2 linked regions of the Diceros bicornis minor genome follow. The protein of the gene in region 2 purifies or fractionates together with the protein of the main gene of each other region. This does not show direct contact. Links are inferred from orthologs where the notes say so. Each region holds a gene or a part of one and is shown on either strand. Other genes may lie near its edges.

What was found. Proteins that work in one complex are often made in the same cells at the same time.
Region 1: the proteins of KIF23 (region 2) and SHCBP1 purify together in Homo sapiens (affinity purification with western blotting; 9 studies listed by BioGRID and IntAct, with this or other methods). This does not show direct contact. The link is inferred for Diceros bicornis minor from reciprocal best matches to the Homo sapiens genes KIF23 and SHCBP1.

Annotation. Positions count from the first base shown.
Region 1 is NC_080771.1:562,359-566,108, forward strand, and holds the start of SHCBP1 (SHC SH2 domain-binding protein 1), read right to left. Parts: upstream 2,970-3,750; 5' UTR 2,955-2,969; coding exon 2,840-2,954; intron 110-2,839; coding exon 1-109. UniProt on the Homo sapiens protein: May play a role in signaling pathways governing cellular proliferation, cell growth and differentiation. May be a component of a novel signaling pathway downstream of Shc. Acts as a positive regulator of FGF signaling in neural progenitor cells.
Region 2 is NC_080744.1:63,211,723-63,215,472, reverse strand, and holds the start of KIF23 (kinesin-like protein KIF23), read right to left. Parts: upstream 2,792-3,750; 5' UTR 2,679-2,791; coding exon 2,668-2,678; intron 1,107-2,667; coding exon 1,037-1,106; intron 1-1,036.

The sequences.
Region 1 (3,750 bases), on a different chromosome or scaffold from region 2:
AACATTTCTGGGAAATGAGTTTTTCCTTCTGGCACAAAGCTTTGTAAACCGGTACCTGGCTTATCATGATTGCTACAATCACTGTATGAATCTTCATCTTGGAAGAAACCTAAGAGAACAACAAAAATAAGTAGGCTCAACTATCCCAGACACATCCAGTGCTTATACACTGCTACTGTTTTCATATCCTTGCTTAGAAACTCCAAGCAAAACATAAACAAGGATTTGGTATGATGCTTTCCTTACCTCTATCGTTGTCAGAAGAAACCAGTTTTCCAAACTTAAAAATATCTCAAAATCCAAGTTCTACTTCAAAATAATATGAACTTAAAATCTTTCACAGGTTAGGTTTTTGTTGTTGTTCTGTGAAGTTTTTCAGGGAGGCAGAGCAAGAGGGTTGTTTTTTATTTCAGTGGAAATCACCCAAGTTCTCCTTCAAAGGATACAGCTATGATTCTTACTATGGCTAGCAACGTGTAACAGTCAAATATCTTAGTCTTTTTTTTCCCAAAACAATTCCATAAAGCTGCATTAAAGTAAAGAGCTGGTTTCCTACACTCCCTCTCAAACGAGTTGAAGTCTCCTTTTATTTTCTACAACATCAGTCTGTCAATGGTCCCTCAATAAACAGGGATGAGAGATTCTTAATAGTGCATAAGGTTTACTTCACTAAAGCTACTAGGTTCCTCCTCACTAATTTCAATGACTGTACCTAAGGAAAAGATTAGAAAATGCTAATCACATTCGGGTTGGGCTGTATGTAATTATGTTTCATAAGGCCTGATTTGGCCAGTGGCATATCTAATTCTGTGTAATATGATGTTTTTAATCAACAAAACGACTACTAAATAAACAATGCTGAGGGTAGCATTTAGACTCGCAAAGTAGTTTCCAGAGGTGGTTTCAGGGAACGTATCTGAGACTGTTATTAGCAGCAGTCTTTCTCTCCCTCCACCCCCTACATTTTCTCTTTCTTCGACTTCTTTGCCCCTGTTCAGCCACCAGAATTACTTGACCCAACAGATGACCAAAGTGTACTCAAGGGGCTACTGCTCTCCAACACCAGCGCACATGAGCCTCAGAGGACATCAATACCTTACTAGCTGTGAGACAACCTCTCTGTGCATCAGTTTCCTCTCCTATAAAGGGAAGGTAAAATAGTATGCCTACTTCAATTAAATTGAGAATTAAATAAATTACTTGTTAATCACTTACAACAGTACCCATCACATAGTATATGTAAATGTTTGTTAAAGAACTAATACCTTCACCTCACACCCATTAGGATGGCTACTATCAAAAAAACAAGAAAAGCTATCAAGAAAACAAGTGTTGGCAAGGATGTGGAGAAATAGAAACCTTTGTGCACTGCTGACAGGCATGCAAAATGGTACAGCTGCTGTGGAAAACAAAATGGTGGTTCCTCAAAAACTTAAAAATAGAATCACCATATGACCCAGAAACTCCAGTTCTGGGTATACACCCCAAAGAATTGAAAGCAGGGTCTCCAAGAGATATTGGTACACCCACATTCATAGCAGCATTATTCACAATAGCTAAAACAGGGAAGCAACCCAAGTGTCCATCAATGGATAAATGGATAAGCAAAATGTGGTATATCCATACAATAGAACATTATTCAACCTTAAAAAGGAAGGAAATTCCGCAATATGCTACAACATGGATGAACCTTGAGGACATTATGCTGAGTGAAATAAGCCAGTCACAGAAAGACAAATACTGTATGATTCCACTGATATGAGGTACTTAGAGTAGTCAAAATCATAGACAGAAAGTATGATCATGGTTGCCAGGCCTGACGGGAGGGGGAATGGGGAGTTATCATTCAACAGGTATAGAGTTTCAGTTTGCAAGATGAAAAGAGTTATGGGATTGGATTCTGGTGATGGCTATACAACAACGTAAAAGTATTTAATACCACTGACCTATACACTTAAAAAATGATTAAGATGGTAAATTTTATGTTATGTGTATTTTAACAATAAAAAAAGAGGAAAAGAAAGAATACCTTACGTCAGCACAATTCTTTACAGCCACTTTGAAAGTACTGCTTTTCACACATTATTTCACTTCATTGACACCACTCTGTAGGACCATTGGCTCTGTTTTCCAGATGGGAAAACTGAAGCCACGTGACTTTTGCCAGTTCATAAGAGGGGTTAGTAGTGGAATTAAGTCACATCCATGTTTTCTCACTTTGTCAGGACTTTCCAGTACACAATGCAACTGAAAATGTTAAACTAAAAACCTGAACCAGCTTAAAATATCAGGAAAAATAAATAAATAATGGAATCTCCATAAAGAGGCAGAAAGGACTGAGAACTAGACCTGGGTTCTATTTTCAGACTCTGTCCCAAATTGGCTCCGCTAACTTTGGGCATGTCACCTGCCCTCAGTGCTCAGTGCAGCTATCTAGGCCAAGGGTTCAGGTTGCTTCTTTCGAGAAAGCAGAGTGTGGTTCACGACCTCCTCTGAGATGCGGATAGAAAAGGTGAGCCCTCCCGCACAGAGACAGGCGCCCCGAGCCTCCGGAAGCCCACCCAGACATCCGGGCTGGGAACTCCCGGCCGGTCAACTCCTCCCGGTCTCGGGAAGCTGAGGCCAGACTGCCAGGGAGAAGGGGCAGTTGCCCAAGGTACCGCCCGACTTTGACGTCCCGAGAGTGGGTCGGAGCCTCGCACGGCCACCATCGTCACCCCGCCCGCGGGTCCGGAAGGCCTAAGACCCGGGCGCCCTCGGGGGGCCCAACGCCACAGGCCGCCGCGGACACGGCCCGCCGCTGGGAGGCGGCTCCTCGGCCGGCAGGGCGGGTGCTCACCTTTCTCGAGGGGCGCCGGCTCCTCCTCGGCCCCCCAGCCACTGGGCTCCGGCCCCGGACACGGCGCCATCGCCTCCGACCCCAGCCAGACACCCGCCAGCACCCCGTCAGCCATTTCAAATTTCCGCGGGCGGCCTCCTAGCCTCGCGATGTGATGATGCGGGCGCTTCTGATTGGAGAGTGGGCCGAGGCTCTGGGGCCAATGAAAGGGAGGCTTGCACAGCCCGTATCCGCACGGGCCCCGCCCCCTGCAGCCTCCGCCGAGCGCGTGACCTGCGCCTGCGCGCTGTCCGCTGGCGGGCGAGAGGTTCTTCTCGCCCCCGGGTTTTGGGTTTCTGTTTACAGGGAGGCGGTTGACAAAGTTGAATTGGGACGTAATTTGAGGTGATTTTCGAAGAACTAACAAGCCATGCCTGGAAATGGGGCTCTTAACCTAGAAGTAAAGAGCCAAAATGAGAGGCAGTGGAGCGTTTGTTTTGGGATCACAGAATTGAATTCGGGGAGCACAGGTTCAGGTGGAAACCCAAATAGTGTCCCAATTACAGGAGAGGGGCTTAGGGTTTTTATGAGGGAAAGGGAGGATGAGGTGAGCTGTATTAAAGAAGAGTTCGTTGGTGCTGGGTTAGGTAAGGCTAGGTTTGTACTTCATAGGTTGGCCTGAGGTTCCATCCTCAGACAAAAGGCCAGAATTGTACTTCATTGACTGGTTAGTTGTGGGTCACCAGCCAAGTCCAGTTTCATCAGTCCTTACAAACAAGATACCCTTCTCCATACTGACTTCTTTGGATGGTTAGTGGTTTGCAAGATAAAGAAAACAAAATGGGCAAGACGATTCCTCTGAAATGGCTGCTCTGGCTCTATTTTAAAATGGCTCCACTCATGTCGTCTTTCACAGGGTATAGAGGAAAAGG
Region 2 (3,750 bases):
AAGCTGCCCATTCATTCCCTCAACAAACACTTGGTCTCTCAATTTAAGAGATCTATATAAACGTAGTTCTGAAAACTAAAACCTGCTACCTGAAATTGTCAAATGCAAACAGATATATTAGATATGAGAGAAGATTTTAAATGCACATAAAATTAAAATAATTTTGGATAACAAAAGCATCAAATCACACAGCTCTTCACTATAATATTGGCACAAATTTAGTACAGTTATACTACTACTAATATAAAAATCTCTCTAAAAATAACATATCACACAACGAAAATTATTTGAAAAGCTGTTAGAATTCTTTGGAATTGGATGTCAATTAACACTTGCCAGCTTAACACTTAATATACAAATAAGTGCTAGATCTTAAATTTGGTCTTCTTAATCAGAGATAGGGTTGAGGAAAAACTGTTCAGCTGTATGTGCAAAGCATCTGGTTCCCTCTACTCAGAGGGACAGACACACTCTAGTGCCAGTGAAGGGGGATTTAAAATACCCCAGGGCAAACCCACCTTCTTTGATTGCCATTTACTTTTAAAAGCGAATTCCCAAGCCTGAAACTAGTGCAGTACACGCAATTAGGAGTAGTCATTAGACTAAATTATGCTGCTCTGTACCAGAGGCTTTATGAAACTCATCCCAAAAAGCATGGAGTTGGGGCTTTCTTTATGAAGCATGCCCTCAGTTACTATATAACCATCCAAAAGACAGGAGAATGCTCGTCCAACAGAAAGTTTCCCCCATCCCAGAGAGGATGAAGAATTCTCTGGGATAGTTGAATATTGTTCATTATCTAACTTTAAATCATAATTAGTTATAGGAGGTATGCAATCGACAATCAAAGACTTCATTTTACTGGACTATTGAATCCTACATAGAAACAAAATTTCAAAGCTGGAACCAGCCTTACCCATTTAACTAAATGTTCCTTGACTCCACTTCCACATCTCCGTCCCTTCCAAGCATACACATAAGAAAGAAAAGGACTGAAGAAAGAATACACACATGTAAATTTACAGGGAGACCTTACCCCAACTGGGTCTTTAAGACTCGTTTGGGATCCTTTCTTCACTAGAGGTTTCCTGGGTGTCTTAGTCCTCCTGGTCATAGATAAAAAAACATTTCAGTTCAACACGAACATACAAAAACCTCACCTATAAGTCATACAGAGACAACCTTCCTAGGGTTTATAAAATTACTCCTTAGCAATTCCAAAACACTACATCCCAAATAACATGAATAAGAATAAATTCCAGTAGAAGAGTGTTTGTGGCATGCATAATCCAAAAGTAATTAAAATAGGTTTAGGAGACGTTTCGCTACTAAGTGTACCTACTTACTCTTTGAATAGTTCTATATTTAAAATAGTTCTCTATGGAAAAATAGCTTGTATATTTTCTTGAGCAACAATTTTACAGAGGCACTACCAATTTGAAAAATCTACAGATAACTGACCACACTTATCTTGAAAGGTATTTATATATGCACACAAGCACACACACTGCGCCAACAGCCATTGCCAAGGCAGACTGACAAGCTATTAACTTCAATAAATTATAAAAATGCAGATGGAGGAATCCACCTTTTCATCAAGATTTATGTCTCTACTTTCAAGGAACAACTGGTTATTGAATTCTCAAAACTATCATCCTTTGTCCCCAAACAAAATGTGCTCCTCAAACTGCAATATCTTGCTCCCTTAGAGACAAAAGAAGATATTTTGACTTATTTCACCATTTCTCTAGCATGCCACTTTTTCCCCTCCACATTTATCTATAGGCTAGATGAACATTTAACACTAAAATTAATTGAAATTATTGGCTTGGACTATAGATCATTAAAATATTTTCTCAGTATTTTCCCAGATGAAACAGAAGCAAATTAGTGTTTTAAGTGCAAAGTATTATGGTAGCTTTACTTAAATTTTTTTTAAGATAAAGATCTTTACTTTGGCCACTTAAGGAAACAAGCTGCCTTTTGCAAACGACTAGCTACATGAGGATGATAATTATAAAGTCAACCCCCTTCTTTGCACAGTATTTCTCTACCCAGTAGCCGGTCAAGGAATTATGCGGCGCCTAAAACGTCACCGACTTGGTGAGGAGTGTGGGCGTGTGCGCTCGTGTAGGGGCGGGGGCCGTCTGCGGCCAAAGAACAGAAGAGTAACTGGCCTATATAAGGGCATGGGCTCGGCCTCGAGGACGCCAGGGCTCTCAGGGGACTGAGACCCCCGCCCCAACCCCCCACACCGGGGCACATCACTCGGCGCCACACGCGAGACGACCCCCGCCCACGTCGCCTCCGACCCGCACTAACTCGGCAAAATGCACCCCGGAGCGCGGGCGGCCAAAGAGGGAAGAAGAACCGAAGGGCGGGAGGCGGCGGTCCCGGAGCGAGGCGGACGGCAACCCGGCTACGGGGACGGCGTCGGGGCGCAAACCTCCTCCCGCCCCCCGGCGTGGGGCGACCTCTCCCGGCCGCGGGAGGCCAGGGCGGGGCGGCGGGCGCCGGCTCCGGGCGGCGAACGGACGGGTCTCGGCGCCCGGGCTCCCAGTTTGGGGGCCGCGGCCCGGGCAGCGCGGGGCTGGGGGCGGAGGGCGCGGAGCGCGGCGGGCGGCGGCGTGAGGACTGGGGGCCCCTGCTGCGCGGCCCCGTACTCACGCCGGCTTCATGGCGGCGGGCTCCGCGCTGCCCCGACGCGCGCGGGACGCCGGGCTCGATCGGGCGGACTGGCGAGGACGGCCGGCCGCAGGGACGGGCTTCGGCAAGCGGGGCTCGGCGGCTCAGGCGCGGCGCTGGGGGAAGCCGGACGACGCCGCGGCGGGCCCAGGTGAGCTCGCGCCCGGCGCATTTCAAACGGGCCAATCAGCGCTCGTCAGCGGGCAGGGGCGGGGCCGCAGAGGCGGTGACTGCTCTGCCGGAAGTGACGCTCGTCTCCTAGGCGACCGACGCGGGAGGGGGCAGAGAAGGCTGGCTGTCCGGGCTGCGGGCCTTGAGGGCGGACCTCGGATATGAAATCCCACCCCTTCCATTTTCCGATGAGGAAATTGACGGTTTGTTTTCCTACAGCACAAGAAGGACGGTGGGAGGGCAAGTCCCGGGTTGATTTAGAGGGGTCAGCAATGTCGTTCCCGCCCAGGAGTGTCCTGTTCTTGTGCTGTGCCCTGCCCAGAGTCTCAGACTCCCTCTCTGGCTTCTATATCGCTACATCATCTCGGCCTTCTCTCTCTCTTCTTCATCTTTCCTGGCCTCACCCTCTCTGGTTCCTCCAGCTCTTTCCTATATATACATTGTTTCCTCAAATTGTTATTAATATTTGATCCTGGGCATACAGAGATGAAAAAGATTTGGACCTTGCCCTCGAGGAGGAACGTCCTGAACCACTTTCTTAGTTAACTGATTCTTTCTCATTTCGACCTTTGCCCCTAAACTGATGGGTATCAAATATGCATCTACATCTGTGCCCTGGTGGAAGTCTAGTCCCATCTTCACAGCTTCCTACAGGACCAGACACCAGTAAGGATAGGCATAATGTAATATCCTTGGCCCATATTGTTTGACATAAAGATGGTTCTGATCTTTGCTGTTACATAGTTATGTGAATAAACTTGGAAATTCATCATTTTACACAATGCAAGTAAATCTGTAGGATAAATTCCTAGAAGCAGAATTGCTGAATCAAAGAGTAAATGCATGCGTAATGTTTCATAGATATTGCCAAATTGTCCTCCATAAATGTTGTCC